Macaca fascicularis: one gene and its partners. The protein of the gene in region 1 purifies or fractionates together with the protein of each later gene. This does not show direct contact. Links are inferred from orthologs where the notes say so. Each region holds a gene or a part of one and is shown on either strand. Other genes may lie near its edges. The genes, in order: PTGES3, AAR2, PPP5C, DYRK1B, FKBP4, EGLN1 and SMYD2.

What was found.
Region 2: the proteins of PTGES3 (region 1) and AAR2 purify together in Homo sapiens (affinity purification with mass spectrometry; 3 studies listed by BioGRID and IntAct, with this or other methods). This does not show direct contact. The link is inferred for Macaca fascicularis from reciprocal best matches to the Homo sapiens genes PTGES3 and AAR2.
Region 3: the proteins of PTGES3 (region 1) and PPP5C purify together in Homo sapiens (affinity purification with mass spectrometry; 5 studies listed by BioGRID and IntAct, with this or other methods). This does not show direct contact. The link is inferred for Macaca fascicularis from reciprocal best matches to the Homo sapiens genes PTGES3 and PPP5C.
Region 4: the proteins of PTGES3 (region 1) and DYRK1B purify together in Homo sapiens (affinity purification with mass spectrometry; 3 studies listed by BioGRID and IntAct, with this or other methods). This does not show direct contact. The link is inferred for Macaca fascicularis from reciprocal best matches to the Homo sapiens genes PTGES3 and DYRK1B.
Region 5: the proteins of PTGES3 (region 1) and FKBP4 purify together in Homo sapiens (affinity purification with mass spectrometry; 3 studies listed by BioGRID and IntAct, with this or other methods). This does not show direct contact. The link is inferred for Macaca fascicularis from reciprocal best matches to the Homo sapiens genes PTGES3 and FKBP4.
Region 6: the proteins of PTGES3 (region 1) and EGLN1 purify together in Homo sapiens (affinity purification with mass spectrometry; 5 studies listed by BioGRID and IntAct, with this or other methods). This does not show direct contact. The link is inferred for Macaca fascicularis from reciprocal best matches to the Homo sapiens genes PTGES3 and EGLN1.
Region 7: the proteins of PTGES3 (region 1) and SMYD2 purify together in Homo sapiens (affinity purification with mass spectrometry; 3 studies listed by BioGRID and IntAct, with this or other methods). This does not show direct contact. The link is inferred for Macaca fascicularis from reciprocal best matches to the Homo sapiens genes PTGES3 and SMYD2.

What each region holds. Positions count from the first base shown.
Region 1 is NC_088385.1:63,494,792-63,499,349, forward strand, and holds the start of PTGES3 (prostaglandin E synthase 3), read right to left. Parts: upstream 2,934-4,558; 5' UTR 2,639-2,933; coding exon of another isoform or gene 2,637-2,638; intron 2,386-2,636; exon of another isoform or gene 2,330-2,385; intron 2,054-2,329; 5' UTR 1,880-2,053; coding exon 1,866-1,879; intron 1-1,865. UniProt on the Homo sapiens protein: Cytosolic prostaglandin synthase that catalyzes the oxidoreduction of prostaglandin endoperoxide H2 (PGH2) to prostaglandin E2 (PGE2).
Region 2 is NC_088384.1:92,328,229-92,332,243, forward strand, and holds part of AAR2 (protein AAR2 homolog), read left to right. Parts: intron 1-2,388; coding exon 2,389-2,618; intron 2,619-4,015. UniProt on the Homo sapiens protein: Component of the U5 snRNP complex that is required for spliceosome assembly and for pre-mRNA splicing.
Region 3 is NC_088393.1:54,378,943-54,383,556, reverse strand, and holds the start of PPP5C (serine/threonine-protein phosphatase 5), read right to left. Parts: upstream 3,166-4,614; 5' UTR 3,156-3,165; coding exon 3,035-3,155; intron 1-3,034. UniProt on the Homo sapiens protein: Serine/threonine-protein phosphatase that dephosphorylates a myriad of proteins involved in different signaling pathways including the kinases CSNK1E, ASK1/MAP3K5, PRKDC and RAF1, the nuclear receptors NR3C1, PPARG, ESR1 and ESR2, SMAD proteins and TAU/MAPT.
Region 4 is NC_088393.1:46,950,334-46,953,616, reverse strand, and holds part of DYRK1B (dual specificity tyrosine-phosphorylation-regulated kinase 1B), read left to right. Parts: intron 1-23; coding exon 24-143; intron 144-243; coding exon 244-432; intron 433-781; coding exon 782-929; intron 930-2,200; coding exon 2,201-2,487; intron 2,488-3,128; coding exon 3,129-3,275; intron 3,276-3,283.
Region 5 is NC_088385.1:3,664,965-3,669,607, forward strand, and holds the start of FKBP4 (peptidyl-prolyl cis-trans isomerase FKBP4), read left to right. Parts: upstream 1-1,651; 5' UTR 1,652-1,795; coding exon 1,796-1,900; intron 1,901-3,799; coding exon 3,800-3,944; intron 3,945-4,385; coding exon 4,386-4,528; intron 4,529-4,643. UniProt on the Homo sapiens protein: Immunophilin protein with PPIase and co-chaperone activities. Component of steroid receptors heterocomplexes through interaction with heat-shock protein 90 (HSP90).
Region 6 is NC_088375.1:17,716,183-17,720,197, forward strand, and holds part of EGLN1 (egl nine homolog 1), read left to right. Parts: intron 1-1,210; coding exon 1,211-1,330; intron 1,331-4,015. UniProt on the Homo sapiens protein: Cellular oxygen sensor that catalyzes, under normoxic conditions, the post-translational formation of 4-hydroxyproline in hypoxia-inducible factor (HIF) alpha proteins.
Region 7 is NC_088375.1:72,065,024-72,069,515, reverse strand, and holds the start of SMYD2 (N-lysine methyltransferase SMYD2), read right to left. Parts: upstream 2,940-4,492; 5' UTR 2,618-2,939; coding exon 2,445-2,617; intron 1-2,444. UniProt on the Homo sapiens protein: Protein-lysine N-methyltransferase that methylates both histones and non-histone proteins, including p53/TP53 and RB1. Specifically trimethylates histone H3 'Lys-4' (H3K4me3) in vivo. The activity requires interaction with HSP90alpha.

The DNA of each region.
Region 1 (4,558 bases):
CCGCCTCGGCCTCCCAAAGTGCTGGGATTACAGGCGTGAGCCACCGCGCCCGGCCGCATCACTCGTTTTAAAGGTAGCTTTTTTTTTTTTTTTTTTTTTTGAGACAGTCTCACTGTGTGGCCCAGGCTGGAGTGCAGAGGCGCGATCCTCCCTGCAAGCTCCACCTCTCGGGTTCACGCCATTCTCCTGCCTCAGGCTTCCAGCAACTGGGACCACAGGCGCCTGCGACCACGCCTGACTAATTTTTTGTATTTTTAGTAAAGACGGGGTTTCACCGTGTTAGCCAGGATGGTCTTGATCTCACGACCTCGTGATCCGCCCGCATTGGCCTCCCAAAGTGCTGGGATTACAGGCGTGAGCCCCCGCGCCCGGCATGAAGGTACCATTTTTTTTTTTTTTTTTTAACTAGAGAGGCTGCTTTTTGGAATTGTCTCTCTACTGCTACACTTACTTTTTTTGAGACGGAGTCTCCCTCTATTGCCCAGGCTGGAGTACAGTGGCGCAATCTCGGCTCACTAAAACCTTCGACTCCTGGGTTCAAGCGATTCTCCTGCCTCAGCCTCCCGAATAGCTGGGACTACAGGAGTGCACCACCACGCCCGGCTAGTTTTTGTATTTTTAGTAGAAACGGGGTTTCACCATATTGGCCAAGCTGGTCTCTAACTCCTGACCTCGTGATCCACCTGCCTCAGCCTCCCAAGTATTGGGATTACAGGCGTGAGCCACCGCGCCTGGCCTTACACTTTTCACCCAAGTTTTTAAATTTACTTTCCTAACTTAGCCGTTCCTTACCTATTTAGATATCTCATGTGCCCTCCAGAAAGTGCTTCTACTTCGAGCCCATTTTAAACATTTTTCACGAAAAGATATGTTGTTTGGCTCTATTATTAAAAGCTGCTTAATGCCTTATCTGACAAAAATTTTCCCTTACAGATTTTCAGAGTATGAAAGGTTAAGACTGATGTCCCTTCTACATTACTTATGAGAGATTTCAAAGGGAAAAACAAAAGCTATTTTATATACTTTTTTTTTTTGAGACGGAGTTTTACTCTTGTTGTCCAGGCTGGAGTGCAATGGCAAGATCTCGGCTCACCGCAACCTCTGCCTCCCTGTTTCAAACGATTCTCCTACCTCAGCCTCCCGAGTAGCTGGGATTACAGGCATGTGCCACCACGCCCGGCTAATTTTTTGTATTTTTGTAGCGACGGGGTTTCTCCATGTTGGTCAGGCTGGTCTCGAACTCCCGACCTCAGGTGATCCGCCCACCTCGGCCTCTTAAAGTGCTGGGATTACAGGTGTGAGCCACCGCGCCCAGTCTGATTCAAACTTTTAAAAACCCCGATTACGTATCACTCTCGGGGAGGGGGCTCCCTCAAAAATTCTAACATGCTGTGCTCTAGAAGCTTGTTTCCAGTGATAAACTTCGCTTCAGTGTATCCCTCACTCATTCCTTTAGATTTCTAGCCGTCAGTATCATGACTTTGAATCAAGCAAACCCTTCTTACTTTTCCACAAAGTCACTCCCTCTCATCTCTCTTCTGAATGGAATATTTTTTAAAAAAAGGTTCCCCCTTAATTGCTCTCCATACCTTTTAGGACGCAGTTAGTACCTTAAAAAATAACCTCCCGTCAAAAAAAAACCAAAAACTAAAACAAAACCCTGTAAAACCGGCAGTTCCCACTGTACGTGGCAGTGCCAAGAATTCTTACTCGGTTAAAATCGCCGAGGTTTCCTTTATCATCATAAAATGAAGACTACCATAGAATCTCAACACAAATTTAAACTCTTTAGGACAACAGTAGGTTAATTACACGCCTATTACATACATATTTCATCCCACAGTTACAGGATAGTGAAACCTCACCTCAGGTTTAACATGGAACACAGAAAATGTCCGTGTCTTTCCAAAGCAGACACGTGCAGAACTACCTGCTCAACGGTAACTCCTCCTCGCTGCCAGGGAAGCGGCTGAGTTTTGGCAACCTCCCGTGTTTTCAAGAGACTGGAGTTACGAGGCGGACTTCAAGAACCCACACTCAAGAAACCCAGACACTGGAGAGAAGTATGTTGCGGCGTGGGCATGGCTTCACTCTAGTTGCCTAGCAGTACCTGCCGCTCACGGCTAGGCCCGCGTGGGGCTCTCCCAGGAGCTCCGCCAGGCACCTGGCAGCACCCACCACAGGTGCACTCGACTCAGGGCCTGGCCCGGGGACCACAAAGCAGCAGAACCGGAGCGCCCAAGCAGCCGAGGCGACCCACGAGGGTTCACGCTTCACGGCGCCGCATGGCGAGCAGCTCCGGGGAGCTTAAGGCCTAAGGTGAAGTTACCTAAGGAAGCCAGTAGCCCAGACAGCCAAAGAGGGAAAAAGTAGGATTTCCGGTATAGGGAAGCCAAGGGACGTTTCAGGGGTGGGGGAAGCAGACATCTGGAGGAAAAATGTCCTCCACCCGCCAACGGTAACCGGAACAAGGATCCTGGACCTCCCGCCCCCAGGCAGGAACGACTGCCACCACCGATGCGAGAAAGGCTATGGGGCCAAAAGCAGAGGGAGGGCAAGGGCCGCTTCCAGGGAGCCCCCAACGCGGCCTCGGCCTCACTCTGGGCGACCTTCCCTCGGCGGGGTGTCGCACTCACATTGTGAACGGGGCAGGGGGACGGGCGAACGGGTGGGCGGGCCTCTCTGGCGGTGGCTGCTGCTAGGGAGTCGACTTCTCTCCAGTGGCGACTCCGCGTTTTCTCCCCGGTCGCGGCCTCTTCTCGCTTCCCTCAGGCGACGGCGGCAGCGGCGGGCTCGACCTCGGTCCCCAGAATGCACCGCGCGGAAAGAGCGGCTCCTCCGGTCGGGGAGAAGAGGAAAGTGTAGGAAAACGGGCGCGAGGACGGAGAATGAACGTGCGTGCGTGCAAACGAGGGGTGGTGAGGCCGGGCGGCGGCTGGTGACGCAGCAAAATGCCCGGGCCTTACCGCCGCGCGTGCGCAGTCCTTGTTTTCGGGGTCCGGCGCGGCTTTCTAGAGATATCTACGGAAAGGGCGGGGCTTCCCAGCTCCTTCGCGATCCTTCCTGGCGTCGGCCCCGCCCTTCGTCCGCCACCCCACCCCCACCCCGCCCCCTGCTAGTCGCTACGCGTTCCCGCCTCTCCTCCCTCGCTGTCCTCTCGCGTTAGAAAACCGTTGGTGTCCCAACTGCCCGGCCATGCGCCTTGGGCGATTTCTCTGAGAAACGGCTGCGTTGGCAGTGGGAGGCAAGGCCGAGGCGGAGGGACACGGAGTCGGGATCCTATAGAACTAAAATGGAGCGTTGGTTACTCTTGAGGGAGTAAATCAGTTCACTGAGGAATCATTCCACCACAAAAACCTGTGAAAGGCTGTGCTGTGGAAAAGGGCTCACTTCAGAATCAAGGGCCTGGGTCTACCTCGCCATTTTTCTGAAGGTTGGAGGCTCTGTCTAGGGACAGCGGAAATTGGAGGTTCTTGGCGGAGGAGGAGCATTTGCCATTTGGGGCGGGCTTTTGCCCCTACCTTGAGACCTCAGTGCTGTAGATGAGACAGGAAGGATATTTGGTGGGAGAGTCTTAGGTTTCTGGGAATGGAGAGGCTAGGACATTGGGTGTCTCCACGCACATCATTTGGGGGAGAACGGGTTCCCCGTCGCTTCGTGCAACACACTAATAGGGTGTATTAGGGGATAGTAACCAAGAGACCCAAAACAGTCCTGCTTACCAAGAGGCCACTTAACGGTGGAGTATGGGAAAAATACTCTAGTGCACTGCATTATGAACAGGAAGGAGGTTTAACGAAAGTGCTATAAAACGTTTCTGAAGAACGGGGCTTCATAATAAGCAATAAGGTATTTAGTGTCTATGTTGTGCACGACAGGTAGTGGGAGCTACGAAAACTGGACCCTAGCTCAAATGCCATTTTGGACCGGGCGCCCATAGCTCACGCCTGTAATCCCAGTACTTTGGGAAGCTTGAGGTGGGCGGATCACCTGAGGTCAGGAGTTTCACCTGCCCAACATGGTGAAACCCCATCTCTACTGAAATTACTAATTAGCAGGGCGTGGTGGCACGCGCCTGTAATGCCAAATACTAGGGAGTATGAGGCGGGAGGATAGCTCGAACCCAGGAGGTGGACGTTGCAGGGAGCACTCTAACCTGGGCGACAGAGTGAGACCCTGTATCAAAAAAAAAAAAAAAAGGGAAGTTGGCCTGGCGCGGTGGCTCACGCCTGTAATCCCAGCACCTTGGGAGGCCGAGGCAGGCGGATCACGAGGTCAGGAGTTTGAGACCAGACTGGCCAACGTGGTGAAACCCCATCTCTACTAAAAATACAAAAATTAGGGCCGGGCGCGGTGGCTCAAGCCTGTAATCCCAGCACTTTGGGAGGCCGAGATGGGCGGATCACGAGGTCAGGAAATCGAGACCATCCTGGCTAACACAGTGAAACCCCGTCTACTAAAAATACAAAAAATTAGCCGGGCGAGGTGGCGGGCGCCTGTAGTCCCAGCTACTCGGGAGGCTGAGGCAGGAGAATGGCGGGAACCCGGGAGGCGGAGC
Region 2 (4,015 bases), on another chromosome or scaffold:
GCGGGCGCCTGTAGTCCCAGATACTTGGGAGGCTGAGGCAGGAGAATGGTGTAAACCCGGGAGGCGGAGCTTGCAGTGAGCTGAGATCTGGCCACTGCACCCCAGCCTGGGCGACAGAGCAAGACTCCGTCTCAAAAAAAAAGAAAAAAAAAAAAAAAAAAGAACTTTGTTTTTTTTTTTGAGACAGGGTTTCGCTCTGTCGCCCAGGCTGGAGTACAGTCACACAATCATGTCTTACTGCCACCTCAACCTCTTGGGCCCAAGCGATCCTCCTGCCTTGGCTTCCCAAAGTGCTGGGATTACTGTGCCTAGACAGGACTTTTTATATCATTGGGTCAGCTGATGATATAACGTATATTTTAACAGGTATATCTTCATGCATTAGTATTTTCATGTAATAAGTAACTTTTGAAAGTCTGGCTTAAAAATGAATAGAAATCCTGTCTTTCTACCTCTTAAACATTTCAATTCTTCAAAATATATCTTGTGAAAAAGTCTGTTACAGGAATAACTTTGTTGGGTTGTTTTTTTTTTTTTTTTTTTTTTTTTTTGAGACAGGGCCTCACTTGGTGACATGGGCTGGAGTGCAGTGGCATGATCACAGCTCACTGCAGCTTCAACCTCCTGGGCTCAAGTGATCTCCCACCTCAGCCTCCTAAGTAGCTGGGACCACAGGTGTGTGCCACCACGCCCAGCTAATTATTTTTGGTAGAGATAGGGTCTCCCTGTGTTGCCCAAGCTTGTCTCAAACTCCTGAACTCAAGCAATCCTCCTCCATTGACCTCTCAAAGGGCTAGGACTATCCCTGCCACCACACCTGTCCAGGGATAATTTTGAATCTACATCACAGCTCTTTGAAATTATTTTTGATGTCATAATTAAATTTTAGACAAGGTCAGAAATGCACAAATTTAAATAAATGTCCTAAATGCAAAGAATAGGCTAATATTTAGTTTCACAAACCAAGTAAAGCCAGCTGAAGAAGCAAATCATTAACGTATATTACACAAAGAAAATTTGACTGTATTTGAAAATACTGGTCAGAGATCCAAAATATCTCAACCAGGTAGCTATTCACATACATCAAACTTAGTTCCATATGCTTAGGACAGGGAGCTAGTTTTTCCAGGTCTCTGGAAGTGGCAGAGATCAAACACTATGCATTTAAAGAGGTATTTGGTGTTGAGTGCATCTCTTCTTTTTATGGCCCACATGGACATATACCTCATTAAATTTCCAGCCACCTTTGAAGTAGAGAGAATGCCTGTGATGAGTGGCAGTAATTCTACAGTAACTTCCAGAGACCCCGTTACTTGCCCAGGGACAGTGGTGTCTGGATCATCAGGTCTCTTTGTTTGAGATGGGCATCTGATAGAAATTGGGAACATAATATTTTTTGAGTGCTACTTTGTGCCAGGTGTTATTCTAAATGCTTTACGTGTACTGTATCCATTCATTTAATCTTTGCTGCAACCCTCAAATAAGGAAATCCAGGTCTTAATAGATTGAGTAACTTGCCCAAGGTCACACAGCTGCTAAGTGGCAGAGCTAAGATTTGAATCTAGGCAGTTTGGCTCCAGAGCCCATGCTCTTAGCCACCAAGCTGCTCATAGAGATTAAATCACGGAGCCCTGTGATTAAGCAAACAAAAAATAATCTGGCTGGCATGCTGACCCTGGAATAAGTACTCAGGAATTTTTCTCTGGTGGGAGGTCCTAGAACTGTTCCCACCCAATAGAGAATCTGTTTTATCTTTCCATTGCCCACATTGTGAAGCATTGAAGTGCGGCCTTGGGCAAGCCCTTGACCTCATCTGTAAAATGAGGCAAATACCACCTTCCTGATCGCCTGTGGAGTTGGGCTGAGGGTTACATGGTGTAGTGCAGTATTTCTGTGACCCTGGAGCAGACCATCCGCATCAGAATCCCCTGGGGAGCTTGTCAGAGCTACAGATATGAAGGCCCCATCATCTCTCCTCAACCAGAACCTCTGAGGGGGAAGCTTGGGTAGCTTTACTTTTAACAGACTCTCAGTGATTCTGATGGGCAGCCAGGTTTGAGAGCCACTTGGCATAATATCCATGAACACATTTTGTAAACTTAAAATGCCAGGCAAATACTGGGAATACTTCTTCTCTTGCAGTCTGACTTTACAGAAATCCAAAGCCACAGGTTGGTTTCCCATGGCTTGAATTCATAGCGGTTCAGCAAACATTTGTTGAGTACCTGTTAGGTGCAAAATCCCATGCCAGGCTCTGCAGGAGTGACAAGGATAAAAAGTAATCTGTTGCTGAGGTCCAGTGGAATTGATGGCCTTGTGAACAGTGATGGAGAGTGTCATCTGGTTCTCCTCTCCCTCAGAATCACTTCTCCTCTCTGCACCTTTCAGGTGAACTCCAGTTTGCTTTTGTGTGCTTCCTGCTGGGGAATGTGTATGAGGCATTTGAGCATTGGAAGCGGCTCCTGAACCTCCTGTGCCGGTCAGAAGCAGCCATGGTGAAGCACCACACTCTCTACATCAACCTCATCTCCATCCTGTACCACCAGCTTGGTGAGATCCCCGCTGACTTCTTTGTAGACATTGTCTCCCAAGACAACTTCCTCACCAGCACCTTACAGGTGAGCAGTCTTTCTGACTGAGCTGATGCAGATGTGGGTCAGAATTGAGGCAACAGTATGTGTTTTGTTTCTTGCTATTCTTCCATGACCCAAAAATGTTTATATTTCAGTTTCCTAGTCTTGGGATATTTCCTGGTTTTCTCTCTCTTACTCAATTGTGTTTCTATGCCAGAAATTTTCTCTCTGTACCACGCTCACCCTATACCTCATCCCCAGTGTGCCTAAGTACAGTGGGGTACTTGGATTTGAATTCCTTCCACTGCTTTGGTTTACTCAGCTTAAAACAGCTTTTCTTTCTCCCTGTAGCCATGAATTGCTACAACCCAGTAAAGCAAAGTTTTGAAGTTTTTTATTCCCAGTGAAACATCTGCAGCTCCTTAGATCTCATTTAAGCATTAAAATAACTTTGATTTCCTGTTCAAACAAAATGTGCCAGTTTCTGCAGAGATTCTATGACAGAAAAAGTGAAATTTGCTTTTAACTTGGCAATTAAATTTTCATTATGAGTGGTAATTAGGAAAGAAGCTTCAAACAACTTACAATCTTCATCCTATGCTATTTCCTCCCTTTGCAAACAGATTAGTTTCCTTTATGTACTTGGGACAGCCTCTGTCACTCACATTGTGTAACTTTCTCAAGAATAGAAGAGGCAGAAGCTGCCAACTATCAGTTTCCATACTTTCCCTCCCATGAGCTTCTTTCTTCTCTCTGTGTGTAGTACCCCTATGAGGCCTGCTCCATATAAGGCAGCTTTTCACCAACCTTCCAATCCCACTCAGGGTAACAGAAGGGATGAATATTCATTAAATGTTGGGGCTGGGTGTGGTGGTTCATGGTTGTAATCCCAACACTTTGGGAGGTGAAGGCAGGAGGATCACTTGAGCCCAGGAATTAAAGACCAGCTTGGGCAATATAGTGAGACCCCATCTCTACAAAAATTTTAAAAATGGCTAGGTATGGTCATGCATACCTGTAGTCCTAGCTACTTGGGAGGCTGAGACAGGAGGATCACTTAGCCCAGGAGTTTGAGGCTATAGTGAGCAATGATCGTGATCGTGCCACTGCACTCCAGCCTGGGCAACAGAGTGAGACCCTGTTCACTCATTGAATCCCTTTGGAACCCTGTAAGATGGAGGTATTATTCCCACTTTACAAATGAGAACACTGAGAACGGTTAAATCATTTACTTGAAGTCATACAGCTGGCAGATGGAGGTCAGGATTTGTACCCAGGCCTGAGTCTTGGTTTCCTGCCTGTGCTTATGCCCTTGTGTAGTGAATACAGTGAATCCCCTAGAAAGGATTATTGATTGATATCAGTGAAGACTTCATCGAGGTCCTGTTTCTCAGAGGTACAGAACGCTTTTCTAAAGCCAACCTACTGTTGGACGAGTCCCT
Region 3 (4,614 bases), on another chromosome or scaffold:
CTCCCAAAGCCTGGCAGTCACTTCGCTTCTTTTGCCAAGTCAGCCTCCTGAACATTTCTCAGATCCAGCCACTCCCTTCTAACCCTCCAGCCCCACCCAGCCCTGGCCTGGCCTCTCCTACCCAGGTTCTTGGCTCAGCCTCTACCTGGCCTCACAGTCTCTTCTCCTGCCCCACCAGAGGGGTGTCCCTAAAGCACAAACCTGACCGTGTCCTTTCCCTACTCAGAACCTCCCAGGGCTCCCCAGAGCCCCATCCCCCCACCACCCCACCCCAGAAAGCCCTGCCTCCTTCCCACAGCCCTGCGCAATCTGCTCCCCGCAGCTTCATCGTAACCTCCTCCAGCCTCCTACTCACGGCCTCCATGCCAGGTTCCGCTCACCTTTGGGCCTTTGCCACCTGTTTTTTTTTTTTTTCTGCCTGGAGTACCGTCTACCCTCTCTCCAGGCAGCCACTCTCACTTCCTCTCTGAAACACTTCTTGAATCTATTTCTGTCCCTCCAGCCTGGTTGGCGATCACCACCCCTCACCTGTCCACTAATCTAGCCTCCTTCCTGTCTTACCCTGGAGTCCAGTCTCTGCATGGCAGCCAGGGATCTTTTCTGAATGGTAACTGAACCACGGCACCCCACTCTTGAAACATCCCATGGCATCGACCACCCTCAGGATGACACCCACATTCCCCAATCTGACTTCCAAGGTTCTACCTCTGGCCTCATCTCTCACTGGTCCTACCTCCCTCTCATGGCTCCCACCAGATCAAACTTCTCCATACTTTGCTTCTGCTCCTGCTGGAGGCCAACTCTTTTCCAGGGGTCCAGATCCTTTCCACCTCCACCTTCTCCAGGGTTTTGCTGCTGCAAGTCTCCCCTCTCACATGCAGAATCAATTCTCCATCTCTACTGGACTCTACTCTCTTCCATCCTTACAAAAAATCCATCTTCCCCTGACACTGCATGTTGTTTTTTTTTTTTTTTTTCTGTCTGTTGCCCAGTCTAGAATGCAGTGACGTGATCTTGGTTCACTGCAGCCTCTGCCTCCCAGGTTCAAGCGATTCTCCTGCCTCAGCCTCCCCAGTAGCTGGGACTACAGGTGTGTGCCACCACACCCGACTAATTTTTTAGTAGAGACGACGTTTCACCATGTTGGCCAGGCTGCTCTTGAACTCCTGCGCACGTTCACTTCTTACCACCCTCCCCCATTTCTCCACTCTTCTTCAGAACCAATACTCCTAACACTTAACATTTGCTCTCTCCACTCCCTCCCTTCCCATTCACTCTTCAGCGCCCTCTTGGCTGCACCAGCCCCGTCATTCCCCAACAACTGCTCCTGTCAACATCACCATCAGCATCCACGGAGCCAAAGCCAATGGCCAGTGCTCGCCTTGGCAGCATCGGACTCAGGGCACCAGCTCCTTGTTCTATAAGCGCTCTCTTCTCTCCGCCTTCCCGACACCTTTCCTGGCTTCCTTTCCACCTCACTAAGCGGTCCTCCTTAGCCTCCCCCTCTTCCACTCGGGATCTGTCCTAAGTCCCCTCTCTAGACCCTCTTACTAGATTATCTCATCCATTCCCAACCATAGTTTGATCACACCCAAATTCTTCTCCAGTCCAGACTGTGCCATTTACTTACTCAGTGTGTCCTCCTGTAGGGCCAGGAGTGGTGGCTCACGCCTGTAATCCCACCACTTTGAGAGGCTGAGGTGGGCGGATCACCTGTGGTCAGGGTTTCGAGACCAGCCTGGCCAACACAGCGAAACCCCGTCTCCACTAAAAATACAAAAATTAGGTGGGCATGGTGGTGTGCATGCGCATCTATAATCCCAGCCACTCGGGAGGCTGACGCAGGAGAATCACTTGAACCAGGGAGGCGGACGTTGCAGTGAGCTGAGATTGCGCCATTGCACTCTGGCCTGGGCAACACGAGTGAAACTCCGTCTCAAAAAAAAAAAAAAATTCCAAACTGCTCTTTGCAATGACTCGGGGAGACCCTGCATGATCTGCCCTCTGTCCTAATCTCATCTTGCTATTGGTCTCCCGCTAACTAGCAAAAGCCCCAGCCATGCCAGTGTCCTTTCATTCCCCACCCCAGGGCCTTTGCACAGGCTGCCTTAACTCCCTGGAACACTCCTCTCCAGTTCTTCCTCTGTGAGTTTCAGCTTAAATGCTTCCTGCTCAGTAAGGCCTTCCCCCACTACCCTATCTAAAGTAGCCTCCAACCCTTATTCTCTACTTCATCACGCTGCTGGTTTGCTTTCAAAGCACTCATCACAATTTAAGTATTTTACTTATTTACATGTTTTTTTTTTTTTCACGTCTGGTTCACCTGCAAAATTACAAGCTAAGGACAGGACCACATCTCTCTCCTTCACTGCTATATCCCTAGAGTCAAGCACAGTCCTTGGCACATAACAGGTACTCAATAAATATTTGTTGAATTAATGAATGAATGGGTGCCCCACACTTGACTCTTTCTCAATATTCTAAGTGACACTATTCTTGGGGATCCCCACCCCTACTCCCAAGGCCCCCACCATCACATTCCTTTTCCTCGGTCAGCCCAAATCTCCTACTTCCTTGTTCCGCCCATCTAATGATCCATTCCCCACCCCCACGATTGCCGCCTCTATTGGGACTGTCCCTCCTCTACTCCCCAGTTGGCGGCACCCACCCCAGGACTCCCCACTTGGTAGCGCCATCACTCACTCCCCCACCACATGTCACTGCCTGGTAGCGCCCTCTACAGGCCTCACGTTTGGTAGCGCCCTCATTCCAGTCCCCCTCTCGCCCCACAATTGGTGACGCCCTCCTCAGTCTCTCCACTGAGTAGCACCCGCTCCGCACGCCACTCCTATGTATCACTCTCCGAAGCCCCCTATGTCGCCCCTTGGTAGCGCCATCCTGGGCCTCCCCACGCCCAGTCACTTGGTAGTGCCTGCCCCGCGCCCAGACTGCAGCTCCGCGTTGCCATGGTTCCGCGCGGGCCCGGCACCCTCGGCCTGAGCCGCTGTCCACCCTCCCTGCTAGGCGGGCGCACCTTTGAAGTAGTCATTGGCCTGAGTCTTGAGCTCCTCTGCCCGCTTCAGAGCGCCATCAGCCGGGTGCTCGTCCCGGGGGGGCTCAGCACACTCAGTCCGCTCGCCCTCCGCCATCGCCATGCCGCAAAGCGACCCCTACCCTGGCAACGGCCGCCAGCGGCACCCGGCCGAACCGTCGCGAAGGAGCGCCGGGTGGCCGCCGCCGCTGCCGCACAAGTGTCGTAAAGCGCGGGCCCTGAAGGGGCCCTTCACGCGCCTGCGCAGGTCCCTCTCGCCATAGAGCGCGCGGAGGACAAGGTGACCAGAGGGTCCCCGGACGGTACCCCTGGTAGAGAGAACCAATAGGGAATGAGAGAAGGGGCGCGCGGGGAAACAGAGCTGGTGTGGCCTCTGCTCCCAAAGTTACCGTGTTCCAAGGCTGTAAAAAGTTTCTCGGTTCTTAAAGTGGGATTTCCCTGCTGTCCTCTAGGGTTGGGGGGTGGGTTGTGAATGTCGCTGGCGGGTGTGGCTGCTTTGCAAGGCAGCGCCATGCCCTACGCGGAGCCGGACCCGGGCGTCGAGCCCTATTGTCAGCTACCTGTGTGACCTTGAACAAATCTTCCCTTCCTCTCTAGGGCCTCAGTTACCCATCTCTGAAAAATGGGTGGCTTCTCAAGCCAAAAAAGGTCCAACCCTGAGGGTGTTTCTGAGTTTTTAAATGAAGGCACTCTGGATTTCAAGTCCTGAGCAAGGCTCAGAAGTGTGTTGCACCATCCCCTTTCTTCCTGTGTTCAGCTTCCCAAATCCTGAATCTTCAAATAAACTCTCCTGTTTGCCTTTTTACAGATTCTCTTGTCTGAGATCACAGCGTTGATTGCATGCACTCTGCCTCCCTCATTTACCCTTCACATGGCAGCTAGAGGTTTGGTTTTGTTTTATTTTGTTTTGTTTTGAGAGGGAGTCTCCCTCTGTCGACCAGGCTGGAGTGCAGTGGCGCAATCTAGGCGCACTGCAACCTCTGCCTCCCGGGGTTCAAGCGATTCTCCTGCCTCAGCCTCCCGAGTAGCTGGGATTACAGGTGCCTGCCACCACGCCCGGTTAATTTTTGTATTTTAATAGAAACGGGGTTTCACCACGTTGGCCAGGCTGGCCTCACTGCCGACTTCAAGCTATCTGCCCACCTCGGCCTCTCAAAGTGCTGGGATTACAAGAGTGAGCCACTGCACCTGGCCGAGGGATCTTTCTAAGACATAATAAAACCATGGCACACCCTCACTCCCAGCCTTCCATGGCCCCAGCACCCTTAGGAGAAAACCCAAACTCCTGATTAGGAGACCCTGAATAGTCTAACCTCAGGCTGAATAGTCTAATCTCCAGATTCCACCCCTTCCCCAACCCCCATCTGCCGTACACCCTTCCAGTCTGTCCTTTCTAAGCCCTCAGGTAGCACTAAGTCCTGTAAGGCTCTGGTTACCCTCCTGGAAGCACACTCCCAAACCTATCTATTCCACTCCCAAACCTCTTGTTAGTCCATCCCCATCTCTCCCACTGCCCCCAGCACAACCAACAATCACCCTAAAGGGCAGATATTAGTATCATC
Region 4 (3,283 bases), on another chromosome or scaffold:
CCACCCCTCACCCTGCCCTGCAGGTATTGCCTGATGTGCGGCTACTGCCTCGGAGGCTGCCCCTGGCCTTCCGAGATGCAACCTCAGCCCCGCTGCGTAAGCTCTCTGTGGACCTCATCAAGACCTACAAGCACATCAATGAGGTGGGCAGGGGCTGGGGGATCCTGGGCTGGGTGCCGAGGGTCTTGGCTGCTGGCATGAGTCACTCACCAGTCCCCATCTCCTGCCTGGCTGGCTGGGCAGGTATACTATGCGAAGAAGAAGCGGCGGGCCCAGCAGGTGCCACCCCAGGATTCGAGCACCAAGAAGGAGAAGAAGGTCCTGAACCATGGTTATGATGACGACAACCATGACTACATCGTGCGCAGTGGCGAGCGCTGGCTGGAGCGCTATGAGATTGACTCGCTCATTGGCAAAGGCTCCTTTGGCCAGGTGTGGGACACCCCCCTCTCCCACCCTGATCCAAGGCCCCACTAACATTGACCACATACCCAGTGGTTCAGTGGCTTCAAATCCCATGCTGGGCCACTCACCCTAGCCCACTTAGTTTCCCTGTGCCTCAGTTGCCTTTTCTGTAAAACAGTTTAAATAACAAGACTCAACATAAGGTGGTATGTTATTTCACGTCCAGCGTTTCCACCAGTGCCTGACTAATGGTGTGCACTCAACTGCGAAGTATGCATAATGTTCTCGGTGGGCCTCCTTGCCTGGAGGGAGGAGAATGGTGCCTGGCTCTGCCCTGCCCCCACCCCTTTCTTCTTGACATGCCCTGCCCCAACAGGTGGTGAAAGCCTATGACCATCAGACCCAGGAGCTTGTGGCCATCAAGATCATCAAGAACAAAAAGGCCTTCCTGAACCAGGCCCAGATTGAGCTGCGGCTGCTGGAGCTGATGAACCAGCATGACACCGAGATGAAGTACTACATAGGTGAGGCCCGGGACTGGCAGGGCTGTGGGCACCTGGGATAGCGGGAGCTGGAGCCAGTAGGGATGGGTCACACCCCTGCCCCACCCTCAGGAGGAGGCTGACATCTTCAGAGCAGGGTTTGATCTGTGCTTCACTGACATCAGTGATTCTCCTGCTGCTTTTATGGTTTTTGTCCTATTTACTTGGTAGTGGTCAGAGGTTACTGAGTGCTCACCAACGGCCAGGCTGTCTTGGAAGCACTTTATGTAAGTTAACTCACCACAGCCCATAAGGGGATTATTACCAACATCTTGAAGAAACGAAACCCGGGCTTCCATCCTAGTTTCTTCTTCAATAAAACAAACAAAAACAAAAAAAATGGGCTGGGTGCGTGGCTCACGCCTGTAATCCCAGCACTTTGGGAGGCCGAGGTGGGTGGATCATGAGGTCAAGAGTTGGAGACTATCCTGGCCAACATGGTGAAACCCTGTCTCTACTAAAAATATGAAAAAATTAGCTTGATGTGGTGGCACGCGCCTGTAGTCCCAGCTACTCGGGAGGCTGAGGCAGGAGAATCGCTTGAACCTTAGAGGTGGAGGTTGCAATGAGCCAAGACCATGCCATTGCACTCCAGCCTGGTGACAGAGCGAGACTCTATCTTAAAAAACAAACAAACAAAAAACCAAACAATAATAACAACAAAAACGAAGAAAGGAAAAAAGAAACCCAGGGATTCAAGTGCTGTCACTTGCATGAGGGGGCAGTTTGTACTAATTGAGCTATAATTTGATGAGGCCGTGGACTCCAGAGGTGTTACTCTTAACATCTGTGCCAGTCTTTCTTCTCCCTTAAACTGATTCCTCTTAATGGACATAAACATCACAACATAATCATAAACAGCAAGTGGATTTTAAAATGGTTTCGTTTGAAAGGAAAATGTACATCCTTAAAGTAGATGGAAAACTAGTGTCCTTTGCCACAAAAATGAATACAAGGGAGATGAAAGCAGTGTTACGAAATTAAAGGAGGAAGTGTAGAATGTGTTAGAGCTAGTAGTAACTAATGAAACTTTCTCGTTTGTTTAATTGGAGGGTTTGACAGAGACTTGGAAAGAGCGTTAACTTCCTGTGTGAACCTAGTTGTTTGTTAGATAAAAAGATCTTGACTAGCAGATGGTACCCGTGGGCACAGCACATGTGGCTAGTGATCAAAGAGTGTTGTATGACCCCAGGCCACCACCTGCCCTCTCTGAGCCATTTTTTCTCTGGCCCATTTTCTCCCCTCCCTCGCAGTGCACCTGAAGCGGCACTTCATGTTCCGGAACCACCTGTGCCTGGTGTTCGAGCTGCTGTCCTACAACCTGTACGACCTCCTGCGCAACACCCACTTCCGCGGCGTCTCGCTGAACCTGACCCGGAAGCTGGCGCAGCAGCTCTGCACGGCACTGCTCTTTCTGGCCACGCCTGAGCTCAGCATCATTCACTGCGACCTCAAGCCCGAAAACATCTTGCTCTGCAACCCCAAGCGCAGCGCCATCAAGATCGTGGACTTCGGCAGTTCCTGCCAGCTTGGCCAGAGGGTACGGGGCAGCCCGGTCCTGGGAGCAGGGCTAGTGGTTTGGGTGAGGCAGGGCCAACAGGAGGCTTAGGGGCGGGGCTTGGCTGGGATGGGATTATTAGGAACTGCTGGAAGTGAAGGATAGTGCTTGGGGTGGGGGTGTGGATGTACTGCCCACTAGGATGGGGAGGGTGAAGCCTGAGGGGGCAGGGCTCGTTTTGAAGCTGCCAGATGTGAACAGGGTAAAGTTGGGTTGGGTTTGAGCCCTGGGTGCTGCTTTACTAAGTTTTTGTGTTTTGTGTTCTTAAAGCCGGGGAGGGAGGTGGAAGGCTTCAACTTTGCAACTCTGTGTGAGGTGCCACTAAAAATGACAATAGTATAGGGCTGGTGGAATGTCAGCCTCTGCCTGGTGACCCAGAAAGGCCCAGGATCGGGGTTGGGGGTGGAGATCAGGGTCTCTTTAGGCCAGCAGGCTCCCCAGATTGATAAACAAGATGGCACCAGTGGCTCCCAGAAAACTGGTGCTGATAATGGCAGGATTTGGAGCCTCAGTCCCCATTTTGTCAGCAAGAGGCTTGTCCTTAGTTGGGTCCTCTTAGCTTTGGGGGTGTCAGTGGGACCAGTAGAGGAGGCTGGGACCCTTGACGATGACCCTTTTCCCAGATCTACCAGTATATCCAGAGCCGCTTCTACCGCTCGCCTGAGGTGCTCCTGGGCACACCCTACGACCTGGCCATTGACATGTGGTCCCTGGGCTGCATCCTTGTGGAGATGCACACCGGAGAGCCCCTCTTCAGTGGCTCCAATGAGGTGTGCCC
Region 5 (4,643 bases), about 60 Mb from region 1:
CCCCTGGCACTGTTACTTCTGCAGAAAAGTAATGGATTGAACCCCTACAGAGGCAGCGCCCCCCGCCCCGAATCCTCTGAAGTTGTCTCCAGTCACCTAAAGAGATGTCGGTAGGGCTCAATTTGTACTGTAAATCGCTGAGCGAAGGGCTGTTTCTTTTGCATCCCTTTCAAGTTCCCTCGGCAGGGACTACAATAAATCATCACATTACGATGCTGAAAGTTCATCTCTAAAAAGCTTTCAATTTAGTTTGATGAGACAATGGCGTACAACGGCACAGTGCCGGGCACATAACGGGAAGTCCAAAAATATAATTATTATTGGAATAAAAATTCACGCTGGGCGCAGTGGCTCACGCCTGTAATCCGAGCACTTTGGAAGGCCGAGTCGGGCGGATCATTTGAGACCAGAAGTTCGAGACCAGCCTGGGCAACATGGCGAAACTAAAATACAAAAATTAGTGGGTGCGGTGGTGGACGCCTGTCGTCCCAGCTACAGAGAGCCAAGATCGCACCACTGCACTGCAACCTGGGAGACAGAGCGAGACCCTGTCTCAAAAAAAAAAAAAAAAAAAAAAAAGAAAGAAAAAAAGTTAGCCAAGACTTGGAAAAGTTAATTTAAAAAAGGAAAATTCATGCAGCCAGTAACTATTGGACACCACTCACCAGGCACTATGCTAAACTGGGGTTAGGTGCTGACCAAAACCAGGCCCCTCTCTAGATGGCTTTGTAGGTCCCACGACCATGGCTTAGGTGACACGGGCAGTTGCGCGCTCCACAGGCTGTCGAAAACCACTCGGGAAACAAACATTGAGAGGAAAAGACTCCTTCTGGAAAACCGAGTGACTTTTCTCGTGAGGGGCACCCACGTGTGTAAGCATTCGCAGAAACGGCAGCTGTATTACCGCCGGGAAGGGTCCCCTGAGTGCGCGCCCCGTCTGAGTTCCGAGCTGGGCGGGCCATGCCTCGCCAACCCCGCTGCTCGCAGCATCTGCAGGCGCCGGGGTAGGCACCGCTGCGTGACCCGGGCTTCCCGGCTCTGGGGAAATCGAGGTCGCTTTCCCCGGCTCTCTGCAGCGGGGCAGCGTTGTCCGCTCACTCCCCCCTCCCCGGACGCCCTCACCCTCTTTCCCCCAGGTAGGGAAGGGTCTACGCGGGTCATAGCGGAGAGACCACGCCGCCCGTGGTGACGGCCCGTCCCGGGGAGGGGGCGCCGCCACTGCCATCCCGCCGCCCGCGCTCCCCACACATCGCCGCAGGCGCAGCGGACTGGTGGAGTGATGTCGGGAGATCGATCGAGAAGAATCTGGAAGAATCCGGTTAGACAGGGAAGCGGACGGGGATGGGAGGGAGGGAGGAAGGGCCAGGGGAGGCCGCTGGGGAGACTCCCCAGAGTCCGAGGGTCCCCGGAGAAGGGGGAGGGGGCAGGCAGCCAGAAGGAGGCAAGAACCAGAAAAAAAAAGAAAAAAGATTCTGAAGCGCCCGCAGCACTCAGCCCGAACCGGCTCAGTCCCGCCGTCTCTAGAAAGTTCTGCACCCCGCCCCCTCTGTCCGTGCTCCCGCTCCTCCCAGCCCCTCCCTCGCGGCGGGGCGGGACCAATCGCTCCCGGAGCGGCTCCTGACCCACCTACCCCCGCTCCCGCGCCGCGTGCAGAGGTGCTCGAGCCTCCTCGCGGTCCGCAGTCAGTGCCGCCGCGCCCGGCCTCCCGCACGCGCCGCAGGTAGCGCCCCCGCCAGCGGCCCAGGGTGCGCTCGCGCCGGTGCCAGCTCCCGGAGAAACGGCGCGCCGCGCGGAGATGACAGCCGAGGAGATGAAGGCGGCCGAGAGCGGGGCGCAGTCGGCGCCGCTGCCCATTGAGGGAGTGGACATCAGCCCCAAACAGGACGAAGGCGTGCTGAAGGTGAGGGGCGGCGGGGCCTGCGGGGGCGGCCGAACCTGGGGCCCTGCGGGCCGCCCTTCCGCCGAGCCCGGAGCCCGCGGCCGGGCACGGGTCGAGGCGGCCGCCTCTGCAGCCTCGCGGCCGTCCTGCCGGGGGCCGGTGGCATCGCCGTCCGGTACCGGGCTGCGTCGTTTGAGGCACCGAGGCCGACCATGCGCTCAGCAGAGGGGCGGCCTAGGTGCGCGGGCCGAGGCCCCAGGCTCCCCAGTCCCCAGCGCCCGGGCCGGGGCAGGGGGTCGGGATTGCAGTGCCCACCCCGGCGCGCGCGGGGCGGCGGAGAGGGGCGGGGCGACCGCCGCGGGCACGCGAGCCGCAGCCCGGGGCCAGGCCGGGCCTCCCGCGCCACGCCGCCCCCGACCCCCGCGGCCCCAGCGGAGCTGCCAGCCGCGGGGGCCGCCTCGTTAGTCGCGGTGCCAGGGCTCGCCCACCCGGGCGGTGGAACACGGGCCAGGACGGGGAGCGACTCCCCACAGTGCTTTCCTGGCCCGGCGGCCTTTGTGCGACGCAGGCGCGACAGGGTTCCGGCGCCCTCCCGGGGTCCCCTGGCGACGCCGGGACCCAGCGTGGTCCCCACTCGCCGCGCGCGGCGCCCCCTCCCTCGGCCCCGGGGAGGCCGGGCGCGGGGCATGCCGGGAGCTGTAGTCCCCTCCCCCCCGCCGCCTCCCCGAGCCGGGACTGCGGGGTGTGGGGCGGAGAGGAGGCGCTCTGCTGTGGAGCCTGCCGCCGAGTGACCGCTCGACTACAAATAGCCTGGGGAGCTGTGGGGAGGGCATCTTGACCTGGGCCAGGACAACCTGCCATGGGTCGGAGCAGGTTCCGGGGAGAGTCCGGAGAGGAATTCCCAGCCCGCGTCTTATGCCTTCTCCCCATCCGCTGCTCCTCCTCATCCTGGCTTCCCACCGCTGAGCTCCGCGTGTGTGGCACCCGCCTCAGGGGGCCTTTAGCTGGTCCAGAAGTGCATCTGTCTTTGCACCAGATTATTGGGGACCTCGAGCGTCTGCTCCAGCGGCTCTCCTGTGGCATGTGGCTTCCCCTTCTCGCTCCAGCGTCCTGCTGTTTTCTATGAGATTGTTATTCCGGGAAGGGTCATTTCCCCTTTGATCCGCCATTCCTTCCCTTTTACCTTTCTACTCCTCCAAGACCCTGTCCATTCTCCATGGAAGCTTTCCCTTAGAGGGTAACCACACACCTACCAGGTGGCGCTAAAGGAACCTGTGCGTTTCTGGGAAATAACTCCAGCCCTGGTCTTAAACAGCCTACCAGTGAGGAATACTCCGCTCCCAAGTCAGAGTTTAAGGTCCCATGGAGAGCCTCTGGGTTCACTTATAACCTGGTTTCTTCCTTACCTGTTTTGAACTGTTTCTGTTCTCTTCACTCATACTCCTCTCGTTCTCCTGTCTCCAAACCAGACCTTAATCTGATGACCACTGGCATGAAGGAAGAAGGAGGAAGTGTGGCATAAATACTTCCCCCTTTGTCGATGATAATAATAATCTATTATTCAACCCTTTACTGGTCTAATCTTCCAACAAACTGTAGGAGATAGGGATTATCATCACTGCTTTACAAATAAGGTGTGGAGAATTTTTAAAACTTACCCATACAGCGGAAACTTGAACTCAAATCTCTCAGCCTTTTGTCTCCTTTTTCAAACCAAGTCTTGCTGTACCTGAAGAAAGACAGGGAGGTTAGTTGACTCCTAAGTCAAGTTGCTAGTAGCTGAATCTGGAGGGACAAGTAGGCAGAGGAGGATGAACCCAGAGAAGCCCCTTCATGTTCCCTCTGGAGGCTTGCAGGCAGTGTTGGTGCCCCTTTTGGCCCCAAACCCTGGGTTACTCACTTTCTCCCCCTTCCTCCCAGGTCATCAAGAGAGAGGGCACAGGTACAGAGATGCCCATGATTGGGGACCGAGTCTTTGTCCACTATACTGGCTGGCTATTAGATGGCACAAAGTTTGACTCCAGTCTGGATCGCAAGGACAAATTCTCCTTTGACCTGGGAAAAGGTAGGCGTGGTCAGTGGGCTGGTAGGATAGGTTCGAGGTGGACACAAGCTGTCACAAGCTGAAACCATTTTCTCAGGACCAAGCTCAGGGAGGAATGGTTTATCACAGTCTGTTAACTCTTTCGGTCACTCTTTTTTTTTCTACCGTTCTGTAACTATACTGATCTTTGTCTCCCCTTCTCCTCATCACCTCCCAACACCTTACTCCCCCTTCAAAGGTGGACTGTCTTGCATCTTAAACTCTTTTGTTCAGGGTCAGGTGATCTTTTACAGTTCTTAGACCTGGTAGCACTTAATGCAACCAGGTATCTCACCTTCTGGTCCCATTTCTAAAGGATGTTCAGCTTCCCCATGAGTGTGGTGCATTAACTCTTCAGAAGCACTGTTTGAGCCCAGAATCAGAACCCTGCTAAAGTGGTCCTGTTTGCCTCTGTACCTGCAGGGGAGGTCATCAAGGCTTGGGACATTGCCATAGCAACCATGAAGGTGGGGGAGGTGTGCCACATCACCTGCAAACCAGAATATGCCTACGGTTCAGCAGGCAGTCCTCCAAAGATTCCCCCCAGTGCCACGCTTGTATTTGAGGTGAGTGTCCGGCCACTGACATCAGGCTAAGAGCCAGGCCTTATCTCAGCCCAATGCCTGGCTGCCCTCCAGCCCTTCCTGCTTCTTGGAGACAATGTAGCCAAGGCTGAGGGCC
Region 6 (4,015 bases), on another chromosome or scaffold:
GTCAGGAGTTCAAGACCAGCCTGGCCAACATGGTGAATCCCTGTATCTACTAAAAATACAAAAAGTAGCCGGGCATGGCAGCATGCATCTGTAATCCCAGCTATTCAGGAAGCTGAGGCAGGAGAATTGCTTGAACCTGGGAGGCGGAGGCATTGAGCTGAGATCATGCCACTGCACTCCAGCCTGGGCGACAGAACAAGACTCCGTAAAAAAAAACAAACAAAAACAAGAATAGTTCATAACCTTGAACGTCTTTGTCTGTTTTCTTCATAATTCCTGAGAACTTTTTAAAAATTCCTTTACCAATTTCAGTTGATTATCATGTACACCTAGAATATGGAAGTTTTTTTGTGCTTTTTATTTCGGGCCTCTTTTCTGCCTTTATGCTTAACATCCAGCAATCTTCTGAACCGTATCTTGTTATAATCTGAGCAAATAATTTTCTTTCTGGTTCAAAGAGGGTAAACTTACATAAGCTAATTTGTTTAGTCTTTTTAAAAAAAAAAATCACTGACATTAAATGAATTAATGTTTGGAGTTGAGTTGACCTAAATGATCCCTATTACAACATAGTAAGACCCCATCTCTACAAAAAAAATACAAAAATTAACCAGCCTGGTGACACGTGCTTGTAGTCCTAGCTACTTAGGAGGCTGAGGTGGAAGAATCACCTGAGCCCAGGAGGTTGAGGCCACAGTGAGCCATGATTGCACCACTGCACTCCAACCTCAACAACAGAGCCAGACCCTGTCTCAAAAAAAAAAACAAAACAACATTGGTACCATTCAGAGACAATGTCAGGTGGGGTGTTTGACTGGGTTGGTTCACCTGTCAGATGGTAAAGTAGGTGTTCTTAGGTGAGCTCAGGGAAGAGAGAAGTCTCCCATGGAGCAGGACAAAAACTCACTTGATCTTGATTATCTATATTTATATGACTGTGAAAGTAGGACCATGAAAATTTTCTGATCTTTGGAGTTACCACTGTGAAGCAGAATTCACCAGTCCTTGAATTGTTCATCAGCCTATCTTGTGTTCCCCATAAATATTAATGTAGAATAGCCTTATCTTTCTTACCTACAAAATATTATTTTTATTAGAAGAATCTTAAGTGTGAATCAGTAGCCAAAAATCAGAGATCTGATTTATTAGCTGTTCTCTCTTTTTATTTATATGTGGACTTTAATAATCATCATCATTATTATCATTACAGGCCATGGTTGCTTGTTATCCGGGCAATGGAACGGGTTATGTACGTCATGTTGATAATCCAAATGGAGATGGAAGATGTGTGACATGTATATATTATCTTAATAAAGACTGGGATGCCAAGGTATGCGACTTAATTGAGCATTTATTTTTTTCTTACAAAAGCATTACGTTCATACTTCTGATAGGTGAGACTGTCACAGACACAGTTAAAAATTTTCCTCTTAAGTTTGTTTCAGTCTCAGGTATTAGGAGTGGATTTTTGTAAAATGAAACAAATACTAGTCTTAAGTTATACAACATAATACCTGTAGTTAACAATGTAGTGTTGTGCACTTAAACATTTAAGAGAGGAGATTCCATGTTCAGTGTTCTAAACACACACACACGCGCGCGCACACACACACACGAGGTTAAGGGAAGGGAAACAAACTTTGAGAGGTGATGGATATGTTTATTATCTTGGTTGTGGTGTGTCACGGGGGTGTGCATATACATCCAAACTCATCAAATCGTAAATGTTAAAGATAGGCATTTTTGTATATCAGTTATAACTCAATAAAACCATATAAAAAAGTACTGATCAATCTTTAAAAGTGGATTCATTTGTTTTCAGATATTAGAGCATTTATCTAAAATCTAACTTTTTTAGAAAAGTGACCTTTATTAAAATATTTTCCTTTTAATAGTTTTTAGACAAACACTTCTGAGAACAGTTGTTTTATAATGGCTTTGGGGGAGATTATAGATAATTGTTAAGGAAATAAGGATTATTTGCTATGTTATTCTTTGCATTTTTGTAAAAATATTGTATGGCATTGAGTTGTTTAATTGAATATTGGAGGCAGGATTCAGTCTTTCCCTGATTATTAAAAAACTGGAATTTTATCAGTACTGACAAGCCCTGTAAAATCAATTAGAATGTACAGTATATTTAATCTCTCTTGTTTTAAATATATATTTTCTTAATATTAGCGTGAGTCTCATTAAATTTAAATGATTTTTTAAAATATGTCATGTATTACTACAGTAGAGACTGTACAGACTAATTTTTTGGTTGATTTTTTAAAATCTTAAGTAAAATATTCAAATAGAAAAGTGGCTTGTGTATAGTTCAGTGGATTTTCACAAAGTGAACATACTTGTGTAGCCAGGTGTAAAGGTCAAATAACCTTTAAAACACCTCTTTCTCTGCATCCCCCAAAACACACACATGGAAACTGCCTGAGTCTTAAATGTACAAAAACCTAATCCTACCCTAAAAAGTGTTTTAAGTTTAGAATATGCTCACAGTGCTCCAGTAATCTTTTTAAAACACACACTGATTTGAAGAGTTTTCTCTGCCCTAGTCCAGGTTCAGAATGGAACTAAACTTTCTGCTAAGTATATATTGAGGCATTATGTCAACAAGCATGGTTTTTCTGTTACAGCTTTCAAAGTTTGAAGTAGAGAAATAAATTTTGTAGTTGAATTTGAGCTCAAGGCGCAAAACAGATTGGTGTAACTTTAGTTAAAATTTAAAAATTGACTTTTTTTCAGATTTTGTGAATAGCTAGAAAGCTAGAACTGTGTTTCATCAACTTCTAACTTCTAGATTTTGTTAGGCTTTTTCTAGGCTGATCTTACAATTTCTATAAGACTTAGGGTCATTAATATGTAGGTTTTAAATTAGGACATAGGCAGAAAAACATCCCTAGTGTTTTTATATGTGGAATAGAAGTTTTCCGTTGCAAGATTGCACTGAATATGTAGTGTGCCAGATGTTCTGGATGCTAGGGATATAGCAGAAATGGAATTAGCCCTGGCAGAGCTTAGGATCTATTGGAGGATACAGATCAGAAAGATTGACAGTTACAGATAGTTATGCAAAGTGTCAAGACAGATTGCTATGAGAGCACACAGGAGGGCCACCTAATTCAGAGGAAGAAGAGTGGATGTGTCAAGTAGCCATTTCTCTTAAAACATTTTCAGCAGGTCACCTGTGGTACTCCCAGTGACTTGAGTCAAAGGGAAGGGAGCAGGAAAAAAGGAAAGAAAACATGTTCTCAGTTTGGAGGTTCTTCAGATATTTGCATAGTAGCCTGGGGAATCACTCGGAACAACACTGGAACCTGAGGAGGTTGGCAGGGGTATCAAAGTAGCTAGAATTTAACTTACCTGATGGTGAGCCTGATAAAGCTTTAACTATAGATTCTAGGCTTAGGCTCAAAGTCCATGCTGTCCTGACCAGGTGTTAGAGTTTCTTTCAATTTTAAGAGTCTACCTGCTTCGGAGTGTAGTTATTCAAGAGTAAGGAACTACTTGGTTGGTTGAGTTTTGCCTAGCCCCAGATCTTAAACACCACAAGGACAAAGTCTGTCTGCATTATTCCCTACTCTGCACCCAGAGTCCACCACAGTTCCCACTGTGATTTGATGCCTAGTTGGTGTTTAGGTAAATAATAATCCTTTATGGATAGAATCAAGTTTCACAAGCAGGTGATGCATCAAGCCCAATCTTGAAAGGGAGAGCCACAGGTTCTAATGGACTACATGCTGATGGTGATGGTGATGATGACAATAATGATGGTCATAATAAATGATGACACTTTCTACTGATATACTGAATTATTTAAATGAGAGGTATCTGTGACTATCCTGTTGTTTATTGAAATTTAAAGTATGGTAAACTCTTTATTTGACATAATCTATTTCTAATAATAATTTTTTCAAAATTTCTTGAAGTCTATTTCAAGAGTAGGTTAAACATATCATTAGCATAAATAAATGTTTAGTAGTTTAAAAAACTTTCAAGCATCATTTTAAGACTT
Region 7 (4,492 bases), on another chromosome or scaffold:
TTAGATCCTGATACAATTAATATGACATGGAAATTCTTGCGTCGTTCATTTATCTTAAGCAATACTGTTTACGTTAAACTTCCGGCAAAAGAAAGGATAAGGGGTAGTTTTCTTTTGGGTGTGTGGGGCTGAGGCAGGCAGCAGATTTTGACCTGTATGTATGAACATTTGCAGAATTCTACTCCAATACTTTGAGGCCCTATGGAGGAAAACACACGTTCCTCTCATACATCTGGACAGACTGATTTGTCCTAGGTCATATACGAATTGTTGACAGAGAAACTGATGCTGAATCTATCAGATGATCTAACCACTAATACTAAACGATTCAGATTTCATAGAAATCATAAAGTAGGGTACACAGATATTTCTAATTGCGTAAGTATCATGGCTGTCATTTCTTCTGTATTATTTTAATTGATTTCAAAAAATTCTTTGGGGAAACAGAAAGGAAATAAACTATGGGTATTGACAGAAGTTCAGGGAAATCAAACAGAGAAGGGGTTTGCAAGTCGTAATAACACGCCATTGCAAGTTGCAGCCCTGGTGAGGGACCCAAGGCAACAGTGAATAACACTAATAAATGTCAATCAGAAAAATGCAGTAACAAAAAAGGCAGCAAACTGTCACATATGGCAGAATAATCCAGGCTGAATGCTTTGTGAAGTTGCATCTCACTATCCACTAATGTTCTAAGGTTGGGAGTATGTGTAGTAGAAACAATTAGGAGACTTACGGCTAAACAGAAGCATCTCTCAGTTCTTCTAATCCCTTCTAAACCCAGAGGGATTTGATCTTTCATTCACTGGGGGCCAGGAACGGCAACTACCCATATAAAGTAAGCACCTACTATGTGCCTGGCATCCATGGTCTTAGGTGATGGCTTCCAGGAATTGCCAGGATCCCTGATGGAGGCTCCTTCGGTGCTGCCTGACCTGCTTTGCTCCTGCCACTGCAGACACCCACGCTGCTGCAGACTCCGAGCCACAGCAAGGCTCAGAAGATCAAGGGACCAGTCACAGCAGCCTTTTTAACTTTGGGAAAACCCAATGCTCACTTCACTCAAACGTTGCAAAGTGGTGCCATGACCCTTTAGCTCTTGGCTCACCAATTCAAAGAGCCACATCACATACAGCCCTTAAGCTGCCCACGGCATGATTCCGTGTCTAGTTCCTTTCCAGGTCCCCCCAAGCGGAAGACAGTTCTGGCAGGGAGTCTGGGCAAGATTACTACAATATTTAGCCTTTGTCCCTTCTTTTGCTACGTCTTATTGTAGAATAAGGCACACAGGTCTGAGAGATTGAGTATGCTGGACCTGAGACCTGTACTCAAAAGGTCCCTGCAGGACTGCAGGTCAGCTTAATCCAGCCCAGGAATCTCCATTTCAAAGATGAAGAAACTGAGGTTCAAAGAAAGCAAAACACGGTCTCTACTCAGAGTACTGGAAGGCCTGATATAAACTTAACCCCAAAGCCATGCCTCCTGCCTTAGTCAATTTACTGAGCACCTAACCAGTGAGAAACAGGCAGAAGTGAATGAGGCCAGATTTCACTCCCTTCACTACTGGTGTGAATGGATAAAGGTAACCCCACTTTCTCTCTGGGCTTTAGTTTTCTCATCTATTAAGTGAAAAACAGGATCGAATTGGTGATTTCTGATGTGCCTTTCAGCTCTGAAACTCTCATAAGAGTTGAGGATATAATTATATGTGTTGGTGTGTGCCAATGTATATGCATCATATATACAAACACAGGCACATATATACATATGGTATCTTGCAATTAAATACCGTTAGCAACCACACATCTTGCCCAATCCCTTACTGCGACCATGTCTTCCTATTTCCAAACCAAAACTGGACACTGCAACTCATCGTTGCAGCGCCTCAGAATCCAGGGCGTGTGGTCAGTGCTCACTGGCGTCCCTCCAAACACCCATGTAAGCGTACTTTAACACGTAAACGTACTTTACAAGACATATACTAAGTCATTAAATTCCTTGGAAGAAACAGCCAATTTGAAGCAGGGCTGGCCTGTGGGGAGCAGCATACACCGCAGGAAGTATAAGTTAAAGGTGACAGCCCGTGGCTGCCCAAATTTGGGGCTCCACTGCCAATGCACCGGGAGGGCAGTGAGTGCCCAGGCTTGGAACAAGCCTGGCTCGGAGCTCACATTTGAAGGCAGGAACCTGCACTCCCGAGTTTGCGCATCCTGCGTGAGCAACTGAAAACGTGCAGCGCAGGGCGTGCAGTGGGCACCGGTCCTGTTTCCTCTCGCACGTGGTGCCCGGCGTGAGGCTTCAGCGCGGGGCCTCCTCCCCTCCCCGCCTCCCACCCCGCCCTAGAGGCCGGCGCTAGGACCCCGCGAGCCGCACGCACTTCCTGGCGCCGCGATCCAAGCCTCCCGCTCGGCGCCCCCGGCTCCCGCCCGCCGCCGCCGCCCTACCTGGCGAAGCAGTACTCGCAGTGGTTGCCCCGCTCGTTGACCGTGAGCACGTAGGCATAGGCCGGGCAGGAGAACAGCAAGTCCCCCACCTGGAAGGGCTGCAGAGCCCGCAGCCCCCGGCCCTTGCCCGGGCTGCAGAAGCGCTCCAGGCCGCCGAGGCCCTCGGCCCTCATGGTGGCGGCGGGGCGCGGGCGCCGGCTGTGCCCGAGCTGCGGCTCCTGGCGAGCTGTTATTGGAGACGCGTCACCCAGAGCTGCGGGGGGCGGGGTGGGAGCCGCCCGGCGGACACGGCGGCGGCTCCCTGCTCCCCGGAAGGGACGGCGGCCCCGCCCGGGCCTCGCGCGCCCCCGCGGGGAGGGGGACGGGCCCGGCGGCCCCGCCCTGCGCCGGGACCCTCGGCGGCCGCCCCGCGCGCGCTCCGGGCCGTTTCCGGTGTGGCCGCGACAAAGAGCCGCAGCCCCTGTGGCTTCTGCGAGGAGGGCGTGAGGCGTGTGCGCCTCCGCGGCGTCTCCACGGAGCAAGCGGGACGCGCCCTCCTCGGTGGGAGGGGGGTCACCTGCGCGGAGCAGGTATCCCAGGGCCACCCCTAGACAGTCAGCCTGGCCCGAAGGATGACCACCAGCACCCGGTAAATAGAAGGGGGCGAAGCCGGCCCCCAAACCCTACGTTCACTTGCCCTTGTAAAGACCCCTGAAGGCAGTGATCGGGAACGCCAAGGAGAAAGCGGCAGAGGGGAAACCACAGTAGAGAATTTTGCTGTGCAGAGGGTTGACGTGTACTTTTCCAAGGTTAGAGGTTTTTAAACCTTGTGGCTTTAATGGGAACGTAGTTTGCCCTCTGCTCCTCTAGTAGAATTACATTGACGGAAGAGGAAATGCACTGGCCAGCCCAGCTCACCGAGTCTCTGCATGCTGCGAACGATGCAGAGGAAGCCAGAGATAACCTTGCCTTCAAGGAATTTAGGCTGTTGGGGGATAATGCGATGCTGTGGCCAGTGTCCAGGACACTGCGCTAGAGTTTGCAGTGGTTTTAATATGCTTGACCACCCACCAACTGTGATCTTAGAAAAGTCACTTGGGTTAGGAGTCAGAGGATTTAAAGCCCACAAAGCCTGAAACGTAAATCCTGTACACATGCACGCTATTACTTTTCATATGAGAAAGGAAAATATAATCCGTGTTCCACATGATTATGTAAAGACTGGAATTGACGTACATGCAGTAAAGACTAAAATTGTGACGAGATCATTTAGCAGAAAATACTACTTCAAACTAGAACCTCAAACAGTTACCTCTGTAAGTTCAGGACTGGTTTAGCAAGGGGAAAGGATGAATATGATTGGAGATGTAAAATCAGTGGAATTTTTGGCATTTCAGTAAAACAGCTTTCTCAGCTGGGTGTAGTGACTCAGCCCTGTAATCCCAACGCTGTGGGAGGCCAAGGTGGGAGGATCACTTGAGCCCAGGAATTGGAGAGTTGGAGACCAGCTTGGGCAACATAAAGACCCCATCTCTATGGGAAATTAACCACCTCTCAAGTGGTGCTGAGGTAGGAGGATTGCTTGAGCCTGGGAAGTCAAGGCTGCAGTGAGCTGTGATGACTCCATCATACTCCAGCCTGGGTGACAGAGCAAGACCTTGTCTCAAAAGAAAACAAAAAAGTCCTTACTAGTGACCAACTAAATAAGCTTGTAACCGCTCTTCAAGTAAAGGACATTATGATAGTATTTTTATTTATGCATTTTAAGAAACATGGACTATGACCAGCCACTGGGATAGAAAGATGGACAAAATCGGCCAGCTGTGGTGGCTCACGCCTGTAATCCCAGCACTTTGGGAGGCTGAGGCGGGCAGATCACCCGAGGTTGGGAGTTCAAGACCAGCCTGACCAACATGGAGGAACCCCATCACTACTAAAAATACGAAATTAGCCAGGCGTGGTGGCGCATGCCTGTAATCCCAGCTACTCTGGAGGCTGAGGCAGGAGAATCACTTGAACCCGGGAGGCGGAGGTTGCAGTGAGCCAAGATCGCACCATTACACTCCAAC